3 linked regions of the Saccharomyces cerevisiae S288C genome follow. The gene in region 3 interacts genetically with the main gene of each other region. Each region holds a gene or a part of one and is shown on either strand. Other genes may lie near its edges. The genes, in order: FET5, SMF3 and MMT2.

Region 1 (3,758 bases), on a different chromosome or scaffold from region 3:
TGGCGAAGTTGGCGTAGTTGATCTAGAAACTGGGGATGGCACGTTTGACTTAAACGAAGAGATCATTCCACTGAAGAACGAGGACGTCGAAGAAGTCCTTGATTGATCGTGCTTGATCTCTGTAGGGTGTTCATCGGCGGCACTTTGGTTTGTAATCACTACTAAATTCTTGCGTACGTCGTTGGTCTCTGTATTTAGGGGCACTTCTTGCAGTGACTCAGCTTCAGTATCGCCGGCATTGTCATTGTTACTTGCATGCTCAAAGGGGGGACCCAATTGTTTCACAGAATCAGTACTGTCCTCATTATCTGATACGGGTTCCCAGTTATCTACATCCGACATCACCACTAATCTTTTTGTGTAGTTGCCTTCTTCACCCTTTTCTCAGATAGCGAAATGGTTGAGTGTTTTAATATAATTGTCAAGATGCTTTATGAAAAAGGGTGGGAGAAACAAGTCCCCCTGCTCAGCGATACGCGATCTCTCTGATCTCAGACATAAAGCAAACATTCTATCATGAGTGACATTGAGGATGACGGTAATTGGTAATATCTGACCTTCTGACCTCCACTCAACACAATGCAGAAAGCTATCAAATGTTTTGAACCAAACATGAAAGAGATTCAGAAAGTTGCCAAGCCAACGTGATGTCACAGGTCAAAGTTTAAGTGAAGGCTATTGGAATCTGCGGATCAGACATTCACTACTACACGGATGGCCAGGTCAGCGTAAAGTAACCTGGGAAGCCCATGACTTTGGGCCACGAATCCAACGGTGCTGTTCTTGAAATTGAAGTATCTCAAACTACTGTAAAGCGGGTGATGCAGTAAGCATATAGCCCTCATACCCAAATAGGTTTACCAAAGAGTTTCTGTGAGGCCATTATAGTTTGCAGCTCAACATACCATTTGCTGCATCACTGACCGTGACGGCACCCTTTGTCAAGAGTTCGTGGTTAACGTCGACTGCGTTTACTGATTACCGTTACAGTGAATTTCTAGCAAGAGTCCTCTGTAGATGCCACTATTTGTCGCTCTCCATGTAGTAAGGCCGTCCTAGCTGAAGTGTGGGGAGTAAGCTGTAGTTATAGGTGCTGGAACAATTGATCTGCTGGCGGGTGCGGTACTCAGAGGGTTTGGTGTTCATGAGTACACATGATTCCAAGAAAGAGCAAAATGGACAGTTTATAAACGCTATGAAGAACTGCTATAATCAGAAAAAAAGGAAGCCTGATGGATTCGAGTCCTCAGGTACTCAAAAGAGCGTTGAGAATATGCTAAAATGTGTCAAGAACGGTGGAACAGTTAAGTAGGTTGATATCCACCCCTCGAATGAAAATGTGGGGACCCTCCCAACGAGATTCCTTCAGAGAGATTACATATAAAGTGAAATTCAAGTATGACGATGGTGACTACTCCTTGGCCATTGATTTGATGTCTAGGGATTGTATTAATGTCTATGAGTTGATTACCGATAGGCTACTGGTTGATTTCCTTTCAAAAAAGCTGCTCAAGCTAAGATAGGTAAGGTGTTTATAGAATTTATCGAACTGTATCTAAATATTTTTAATATTCTTGTTTTATTACTTTGTGGCTTTTGTATTCAGTCTGCACCCTGTTTCGCCATCGATTCTTATAATACATACATTTTTATATAAGATCACAGAAAATACGAAGACGTAAAAAAAGAGTTCCGAATGAAAGAAGAAAGAATCAAGCACAGGAAGACAAGAAACGATGTTGTTCTACTCGTTCGTGTGGTCTGTACTGGCCGCTAGTGTTGCTTTGGCAAAGACACATAAGTTAAACTATACCGCTTCTTGGGTAACTGCCAATCCTGATGGATTGCATGAAAAAAGGATGATTGGTTTTAATGGCGAATGGCCACTTCCAGATATCCATGTTGAAAAAGGAGATCGTGTTGAGCTTTATTTGACTAACGGCTTTCAAGACAATACTGCTACTTCTCTACATTTCCATGGTCTTTTCCAGAATACGAGTTTGGGGAACCAGCTTCAAATGGATGGTCCTTCTATGGTGACACAATGTCCCATCGTTCCGGGACAAACATACCTGTACAACTTCACTGTCCCAGAGCAGGTAGGAACGTTCTGGTACCATGCACACATGGGTGCCCAGTACGGTGACGGTATGAGGGGTGCATTTATCATCCACGATCCGGAGGAGCCCTTCGAATATGATCATGAACGAGTCATCACTCTATCGGACCATTATCACGAAAATTATAAAACGGTTACCAAAGAGTTTCTGTCAAGATATAATCCAACCGGTGCTGAACCTATTCCTCAAAATATTCTTTTTAATAATACGATGAATGTAACTTTAGATTTTACACCCGGTGAAACGTATCTCTTCAGGTTCTTGAACGTTGGGCTGTTTGTATCCCAGTATATCATTCTTGAGGATCATGAAATGAGTATAGTAGAGGTGGACGGTGTTTACGTAAAGCCAAACTTTACTGATTCGATATATCTTTCTGCGGGGCAAAGAATGAGTGTGTTGATTAAAGCTAAAGATAAAATGCCTACAAGAAACTACGCTATGATGCAAATAATGGATGAGACGATGCTTGATGTTGTCCCACCTGAGTTACAACTCAACCAAACTATCCAAATGAGGTATGGCCACTCGTTGCCGGAGGCACGCGCATTGAACATTGAAGATTGTGACTTGGACCGCGCCACGAATGACTTTTACCTAGAACCTCTGATTGAGAGAGACCTACTTGCTCACTATGACCACCAAATTGTCATGGATGTAAGAATGGTCAACTTGGGTGATGGTGTGAAGTATGCATTTTTCAATAATATCACTTACGTCACACCAAAGGTGCCTACTTTGACAACGTTGCTTACCTCAGGAAAGCTTGCGTCAGATCCTAGAATTTATGGTGATAATATCAATGCGCAGTTATTGAAACATAATGATATCATAGAGGTTGTTCTAAACAATTATGATTCTGGCAGACATCCATTCCATTTGCACGGTCATAATTTCCAAATAGTCCAAAAGTCGCCAGGGTTCCATGTTGATGAAGCTTATGACGAATCTGAGCAAGATGAAATGACCGTCCCTTATAACGAATCTGCGCCATTACAACCGTTCCCTGAGAGGCCGATGGTGAGAGATACAGTGGTTCTTGAACCTAGTGGACATGTTGTCCTGAGATTTAGAGCTGACAACCCTGGTGTCTGGTATTTCCATTGTCATGTAGATTGGCACTTACAACAAGGTTTGGCTTCGGTCTTTATTGAGGCACCCGTTTTACTTCAGGAAAGGGAAAAGCTTAATGAGAACTATCTGGATATATGCAAAGCCGCTGATATTCCGGTAGTTGGTAATGCTGCAGGTCATTCGAATGATTGGTTTGACTTAAAAGGATTACCAAGACAACCTGAGCCACTACCAAAGGGATTTACTACTGAAGGATATTTGGCATTGATTATTTCAACCATTATCGGTGTCTGGGGCCTATATTCCATTGCTCAGTATGGTATTGGCGAGGTTATCCCTAACGATGAGAAGGTGTACCACACGTTAAGGGAAATCTTGGCTGAAAATGAAATAGAGGTTTCTCGCGGCTAATTAAACAAGAAAATATAAAAGAAAAATGAAAGAAGTTTATATTCATATTGATGATTTGCAATCCTAAAAAAAATGTAGCACTGTAAATACTGCTTACTATTGAGTATTTTCATTTTGTTCATTCCATTCCCTATATAATATTCATACGTAATC
Region 2 (3,758 bases), on a different chromosome or scaffold from region 3:
GCTCATCAAGTCTTTTTTGACTAATGTATGTTTATATTTTGATATTAGATAAAGTATGCATTTGTTCTGAAGGCTATGCATACGTAAGTATATACTTGGGTTGTATTATGCAGAATAAAGAAATGAGAGAAAACAAGAATCGAGAGAAAACGACACACTTGACAATAAATAGGTTCCATTAAAAATGGATGTCGGCACCTAAGAGATAGGAAATCACCAAATAGCAATTCAAGCTCCCGATTAAAGCCCATACGAAAACAGAGGTATAGGTCAACAAACGACTGTTAGTAAAATCAACTATTTTACTGTGCTTGGAGTTCAATGGAGTGGTTTCATCAGCAATGGCGTTAACATCGGCAGGTGCTCTTACCACACCATTTTCGTCATGAACAACCATCAACTTTCTATTTGCGGTAAAATAAATTAAAGGAGCGGATACGATTGGTAAAATTAAGGACAAGACCACTTGAGAAAAATTCAAAATATCTGAAATTCCCTTTTCCCCCATGGTTAAAGTAACAAATAAACATGGTACAATGGCAATCAATCTGGTGCACAATCTTGTGGCCCAAGGTGGTAAAGACCACTGTAAAAATCCCTCAGAAACGATTTGCCCGGCAAGTGTACAGATGATACCGGCAGATTGACCAGAACATAACATGGCCAATGCAAAGATTAACCCTGCCGCAGGAGATATGTAGTGGACCAGTAATTTGTAAATAGATAACAAATCAGCATCCTCTGCCTCAGGTTGGCCTGATAAAGTAGCACCTGCAACAATTAAAATAGCGGAATTAACAAAGGTGGCAATTAAGAACAAAGAAATGATTAGTTCAGCGTACGCATAGTTTAACGTATATTTTATAGCGCTTAAACTTGGGCGGGCATTAACCTTACCGTATTTCTTCAAATCGTAATCGTGCAATCTTGGTTTAACAATGGATGAGCCCAAGTATAATGAATGAGGCATCACAGTGGCACCTAAGATACCCAATGAAATGTAAAGAGCTTGTTGTTCCTTAAAAATGATATTTGAAGGCAAAAACCCTTTAAACAATTCAGCTTTGTCTGGGATTGAAACTTTAAACAGCTCCAAAACAAAGCAAATGCAAGTTCCAATGACCAAAATCCCAACGCCAAATTCGAAAACCCTAACTTTTTTTAAGGACTGGCCGTTTGGTGTGTAGAACATTAAAATTACCAAAACATCTAGCACCGTTAATAAGACACCCCAAGTTAGTGGTATTTTGAAAAGAATTTGTAAAGCGATGGCAGTGCCTACAACCTCGGCCAGATCAGTAGCAATGATTGCCACTTCAGCGAAAAGGTAAAGGGTATAGTTTAGCTTTTTAGGCAAATTATGACGACAGTTTTCAGCCAAATCATAGCCAGTGATAGTACCCAGCTTCACACAGAGACATTGCAAAAGTACGGCAAAAATGTTGGATATAAAAATAGAGAATAATAAGGTATATTTGTATTGAGCACCACCGGAAACACTAGTGGCATAATTTCCTGGGTCCATATAAGCCACACTGACTAATATCCCTGGCCCAATAAATTTGGCAAATTTTTGAAGAATCTGCATATAAGATCGCATTTTTTTTCTCTTGTGATGCTACTACTGTTATCAATTAGCTTGGAAGAACGATATATTTAAAGGAGTTCAGAAGGAAATAATAGTTTGGGTATGACAACTGAAAAAAAAAATGAACTAATATATAAAGGAACCCCGTATATTTATGTGGAGTGATCTTTGTCTTCTAGCTCCTTTGAAATAAATATTCAATTATGCAACCTCACAGAATCAGATGAATGAGATATATACAGTATAAATACCTTTAGTCGCATGACAACAGGATGTCGTAACAATGCAATATTAGAGCATTTTTAAGTTGACCCAAAACGGAAATTTCAAGGTGCGGAAACTGGAAGAGAGGCAGGGCGGGCAACAGGGTGCGGTTACCATGAGTTACAAACAATGGTCTATTATGAAGTAATCTATTGTGCTGAGTGGTGATAGTGCACCCGATCATCAGGGGCTGTCTGGCGTGAAGAGGCACCATTCATTTGTCGTGGCTTCAATGTGTCCCGGTTTCTTCACATGCGCTCGCAAGGCTTGCAAAAGACTGGAAGAAGGGCTTGTGGCATCGTCCCTCGATCGTAACCACAGAGTTTCTTTGGCAAAGTTATCGCTGTCATGCTTAACAATTTTTTCATTCTTCAGGGTATAGACGTAGTTGTTGGTATACTCGGAAAAATGCATGAGTTTCGGCCTTGTTTTGTGCATGCAGGATGCTTTCTTTATATAATTATCAGTTACTTTTTTTTTCGAATTTCGTGGAATGGTCATGTCCACGGTATTGTTTCTTTTACCGTAGGTTTGCTGAAGCTTTATTAGTTCCTTTTTTTCTGTATTTGAAAGCTGTCTTTCGTTGGGCATTCCCCTTTTATTGGCATCTCCACAGCTAGTACGTTTGGCCTCAAGTAAGTTTTCGCTCAGTTTCTTGTTGACGTTTCTTATTTTTGTGATCATAAAAGGATTAGAAATAGAAGCGTCCTTAGAAAGTTCTAAATCCTCGTTCTCTGGAATAGTTTCTATATAGTTATAAGTTAATGACGAGGGTAATGTTGAGGATCCAGCTCCTGCTACTTCACTATTTTCGCTTAGTTCTTGTTGGAAATTATGTCGCCAATTAGTACTGTCCTCGGAAGCCATAGACCCGGAACTCGAGCTTCTATAACTTGAAATGGTCAGCTGAGTTTGTTCGTCAAGAGCTTTATCCTCGCTAAATTTTGTAGGTGAAGGAGTAGCAGCGACAATGGTCGTATTCTCTAAGTTTGCTTCATCGTAAAAAGTTGGTACTATCAAATCTGAGTTTTTTTGTGGGATGTCAGTCTTGTCTTTACCACTAACAGCACCACAGCCCTTTGATATTTCATTCTCTGCGTCGGGTGTAGGTATCACCAGTGCGGGAGAAGTTTTTTCGTTGATAGAAGGCTGAACATGTTTATCTCCCAGCATATTTGTTTCGATGCCAATTCTCTCCTCCAATAACAACTTTAACTTATTCTCTATCTTCTTAAATATCACTTCAAAACTTTTGATCATCACGTCATTTTTCTCTGGTTCGATATTTACGTCAAGAAGCTTTGTATCGCAATTTAAATTAATAAACCAAACCATAGGATCTAGTAAAGAGAAATCTCTATAGATTGACGATAGTAACTTAGAAATAGTCTTCCCCGTCTCCAAGTTCAAAGATAGCGCTCTCTCATTAACAGATAAAAATTTAAATCGTCTCTTTATATTAATAACGTCAGATTCTGGCACCATCCTCGGTAAGATCAAATCTAAATTTATTTTTTCGTCGATAACAAAGTTTTCTTCTACAATAAAGTTCAGCGGCACAGGCTTTTTTAGTCTAGCTAGTAGGGACAAACTTCTAGCTCTAGAAATCTTAGGGTCTAACGTTTCTTGCATTTGTTTACGCTCTATGGCACCATTTTTTTGTAATGACACCAACGAAAAATAAAACCGAATATTTCTATGAATTAGAGAATAATGGTTTATTAAATAGATTAGTTCATCGAATGTTTTTCTTGGCCTCGAAGAAATTTCGAGATACCTTGCTCGTAACCCTCCCAGAAGTTTCCTTAATATTACTGTAGTCCCCACGGGACAAGATACCTTGTACCTTTTTCCATTGGTAATACCACCCTTACTATCAACTAACCATTTTTCTCCAATGACATCA
Region 3 (3,626 bases):
GAATATGTTCAGTGGTTCCAGGTATGGGTTTGAGGATGTTCTTGTAAGGTGTGTAGATCCCATCTTTTTTAGGGATCACAAAGGGAAAATAACTACACAGCATGTGGTGGTACAGATGAGGTCAATGGCAGTTTTGCCTTAGTTGTAAGTAATTAACCAATCCTTGTCGTGCTTCTCATGAATGTGTATGAATTTATGTTCATCAGAATATCCCTCTTTAACCACAGTTCTTGCGTAAAGCATAGTCTGGCTTCCTTTAGAAAAAGGAAATGTGGTAATTCTAGGACCACGTTTTGGGCTTCGTCATTTCTTTTCACTCCTCCACTTTTATGACATTTGATCGCAAGTTCCTCCATACATCATGCCTAGTAATCAAAACAAATAACGCACAAGGGAGTAAAGGGAAATGGTTAGAAAAGACCGAAATCCTTTTTTTGGTCTCCGTTACGTGCTTGTTAATCAGGCTCCCTTGAAGCAGTCAATATTTCTTGGACTATAAAAGCACATTACTATTTCATCAAAAAAAGGATACATACCTACCCTCAACTCTTAATATCTACTAGCAGCAGAGCCAAACACTACCGCATAAAAGCTAAGTACGAATAACAATTAAGAAATGTCCAATCTATTAAACAAGTTTGCTGATAAGTTGCACGGCAACGATCATGATGAACGTTACGAAGACGACAATGACGACCAGACTAGACAACAGCGTCATGAAAAACATCAACAGAGGGAATTCAGGAATCAAGGATCCAAGGCCGATCCCTACGGCGAAGAAAACCAAGGGAATTTCCCTCAACGCCAGCAGCCACAGTCTAATCTAGGCGGTAACACGCAGTTTGGCGGTAACGACTTCCAGCAACAAACTACTGACTACACTGCCGGCACTGGTGGTGGCACTTATACCCAAACTTACCGCGAAACTAACACTCAAGGTCAGTTGGACGACGATGAAGACGATGACTTCTTGACTTCGGGCCAACAGCAAAAACAAGGTCGTACAAGAGGTGCTCAAAGTAACCGCTACCAATCCTCTAATATCGGCAGCGGTAGACGCGATCTGTCTGGGTCAGGAAACGATGAATATGATGATGATAGTGGGAACCAAGGCGTCTGGTAGATGCGGTGGTCGAAGCTTCTATTACATGCCTGAGGTGCGGGTCTCACCCTTGAGCAGCAAGTGAGAAATTTTACCCTAATTTCGTCTTCTTTTTTCTTTTTTCTTCATCTGGACCTATTATTGGTCATGATGCCACTTTTTACAAACTATTTCATATGTTTAATCTAGTTTATTTAGATCTACAGCTGTCAGTTTATACGTTTTTATTAATGTCAGTTTGATTTGATTAGTAGTGACCTTTTTCGTCGAGGTATGCCGTTTCACGGACCTCCAGATCCAGGTGTATAACAATAGAATTATGGGAAAACGGGGTGGGAAGGTCGTTGTCTAACTCAAACCTCCTGGAATTAGCGGGTAAAGTGTCGTTATTGTGCTGGGCAACAACTTTTTTTTACGATTTCTTTTTACCTCTCATCTAGGTTAGTGTTAGTTGTAAAAACCCGAGCAGATTGGTGCCTTTTCAAGTGCGTTCTTACAACCATACTTTTTTATTCTAGAACGTGTAAGCAATTACTTTCTCAAAAAAGCAAACGCAATAAAGATATGCTACGGATAAGTATTGACTCTATCAAGCAATTCGGTTCCTTTGTGCCAGGTTATAACAACACTAGTTACCATGCTGCCGGGAGGGCCATAAGAACATCAAGCCTGTACAGTACAATGATCTCAGCCAACCCGAGAAGGTGCCTGCATTCTTCGAAACTGCTAAATAAAGAAGGTCAAGAAGAGGGCTATAATGAACAGCTCATTTCAAAAATGTCTTCACAGAATGGATCGAATTCCAGACAGAATGAAAGTGAAGGAAAGAAGGAAGGCAAGGCTTCCTCTGTGAAGTCGTTGTTGCAACATACTCATAGTCACAGCCACACACATATGCATGACAATCCTTTATTGTCACTGAACGTACAGCAGATCAAGAAGAATCCTGGCGTAAGAATAACATGGATAGGACTTGCATCAAATGTGGGGATGGCAGTAGGAAAATTTGTAGGAGGAATCACTTTTCATTCTCAAGCATTACTTGCTGATTCCGTACATGCTCTTAGCGATTTGGTATCTGATTTTTTAACACTGTTTTCTGTCCAATATGCGTCTCGTAAACCAACTTCGGAGTACCCATATGGCTATGGTAAAGTGGAAACTGTGGGATCTTTGGCAGTATCCACAATCTTAGCAATGGCTGGTATATCTATCGGTTGGTCGTCGTTATGCGCTATTGTGGGGCCTGTCATTCCTCATGCCATTCTAGAATCGATGGCCGGTTTAATTGGTGAAACGCATTCCCATTCTCAGTCGCTAACACAACAGGCAACTAATGTAAATGCTGTATGGATAGCAGCGGGTTCTATCTTGGTTAAAGAATGGGTTTTTCAGGCAACAAAGAAAGTTGCAATCCAAACAAATTCTAATGTACTAATGGCAAACGCCTGGCATCATCGTGTTGACTCCTTGACATCGTTGGTAGCGTTGGTCGCTATCACATCTAGTTATTTTTTCAACATTCAATCCTTAGATAATTTAGGTGGGCTTGTAGTGTCAGGTTTGATCATAAAAACAGGTGGACAAGGTATCTTATCCTCACTGAAGGAGTTAGTTGACCAATCTATACCACCTACTGATCCGCGTTATCTAGAAATCGAATCTGTCATAAAAGACAGCATTGGCAGTTTGAAAACAGACTTAGATCTCAAACAGTCGTTACATGTTAGAGACCTTACTATATTAGCTTCCGGTCCTAATCTTCGTGCCACCACAACTTTGGAAGTGCCAGTATTACATTCAGGTCAGGAAGTTGGGATAAGATTTTTGGAAAACGCTATTTCGACTATAAGAGAGGATTTACGTATGAAGGTGCCAAACGTGGGGAAGGTGGACGTCGAGTTTGTTGATGTAACCTCTGACTCTAAAGGTGATTTGGAGCACTCTCATGACACTAAATCAACAAATCATACTCATACTCATTCTGATTCTGCCGATACTCACACCCATAAACATTAGGGAATTCTCAATGATGAATTTTTTCAAAAGTTAAGAGCAAAAGTACAGCCTTTCACATTTCAACAATTTACTGAGCTTAATATATATATGTATATATATATATGTTGAACAAGGAAGAATGCCTTGTGTTGTTCCTTTGTATAAAGTAATGTATTCTATATAATCAATCACAAATATATATGCATGTTCATTTCTGACCGACAATCCAATCGTTCAAGCCGTGTTTATTTCTAGCAATTTCAAAAGCGTAAAATTGTAGTCTCACGACAAAACAAGTAGTAAATTGACCATACTCGGCTGAAGCGTCTGTCCTCAACAAAGTACCAAAGTTATAGTCTTCGATTTTTTTCTCAAAAATTGTGAAGAACTTTCTCCATCTTTCCTTGGCTTCTTTTGTTTTTAATTCTTCCTCCGTAAACTTTTTGACCCTTTCAACATCTTTGTATTCTGGGAATCTCTCCATAAAATTCTCGTATATTTCGTCATCAAACTTAGTCAAACGTAA

The links.
Region 1: mutations in MMT2 (region 3) and FET5 impair growth when combined (synthetic growth defect), as found in Saccharomyces cerevisiae (one study listed by BioGRID).
Region 2: mutations in MMT2 (region 3) and SMF3 impair growth when combined (synthetic growth defect), as found in Saccharomyces cerevisiae (one study listed by BioGRID).

Annotation. Positions count from the first base shown.
Region 1 is NC_001138.5:47,403-51,160, forward strand, and holds FET5 (ferroxidase FET5), read left to right. Parts: upstream 1-1,736; coding exon 1,737-3,605; downstream 3,606-3,758. Other genes in the region: LAM5 (Lam5p), read right to left, coding at 1-342; YFL041W-A (uncharacterized protein), read left to right, coding at 1,332-1,523. UniProt on the Saccharomyces cerevisiae protein: Iron transport multicopper oxidase, which is required for Fe(2+) high affinity uptake. May be required to oxidize Fe(2+) and release it from the transporter. Essential component of copper-dependent iron transport.
Region 2 is NC_001144.5:210,334-214,091, forward strand, and holds SMF3 (putative divalent metal ion transporter SMF3), read right to left. Parts: upstream 1,601-3,758; coding exon 179-1,600; downstream 1-178. Other genes in the region: mismatch repair protein MLH2, read right to left, coding at 2,036-3,758. UniProt on the Saccharomyces cerevisiae protein: Has a role in controlling the cellular iron ion levels. Mobilizes vacuolar stores of iron in conditions of low iron levels.
Region 3 is NC_001148.4:126,129-129,754, reverse strand, and holds MMT2 (Mmt2p), read left to right. Parts: upstream 1-1,666; coding exon 1,667-3,121; downstream 3,122-3,626. Other genes in the region: GRE1 (Gre1p), read left to right, coding at 617-1,123; ribosome-associated Tef1p biogenesis chaperone CHP1, read right to left, coding at 3,309-3,626. UniProt on the Saccharomyces cerevisiae protein: Mitochondrial metal transporter involved in mitochondrial iron accumulation.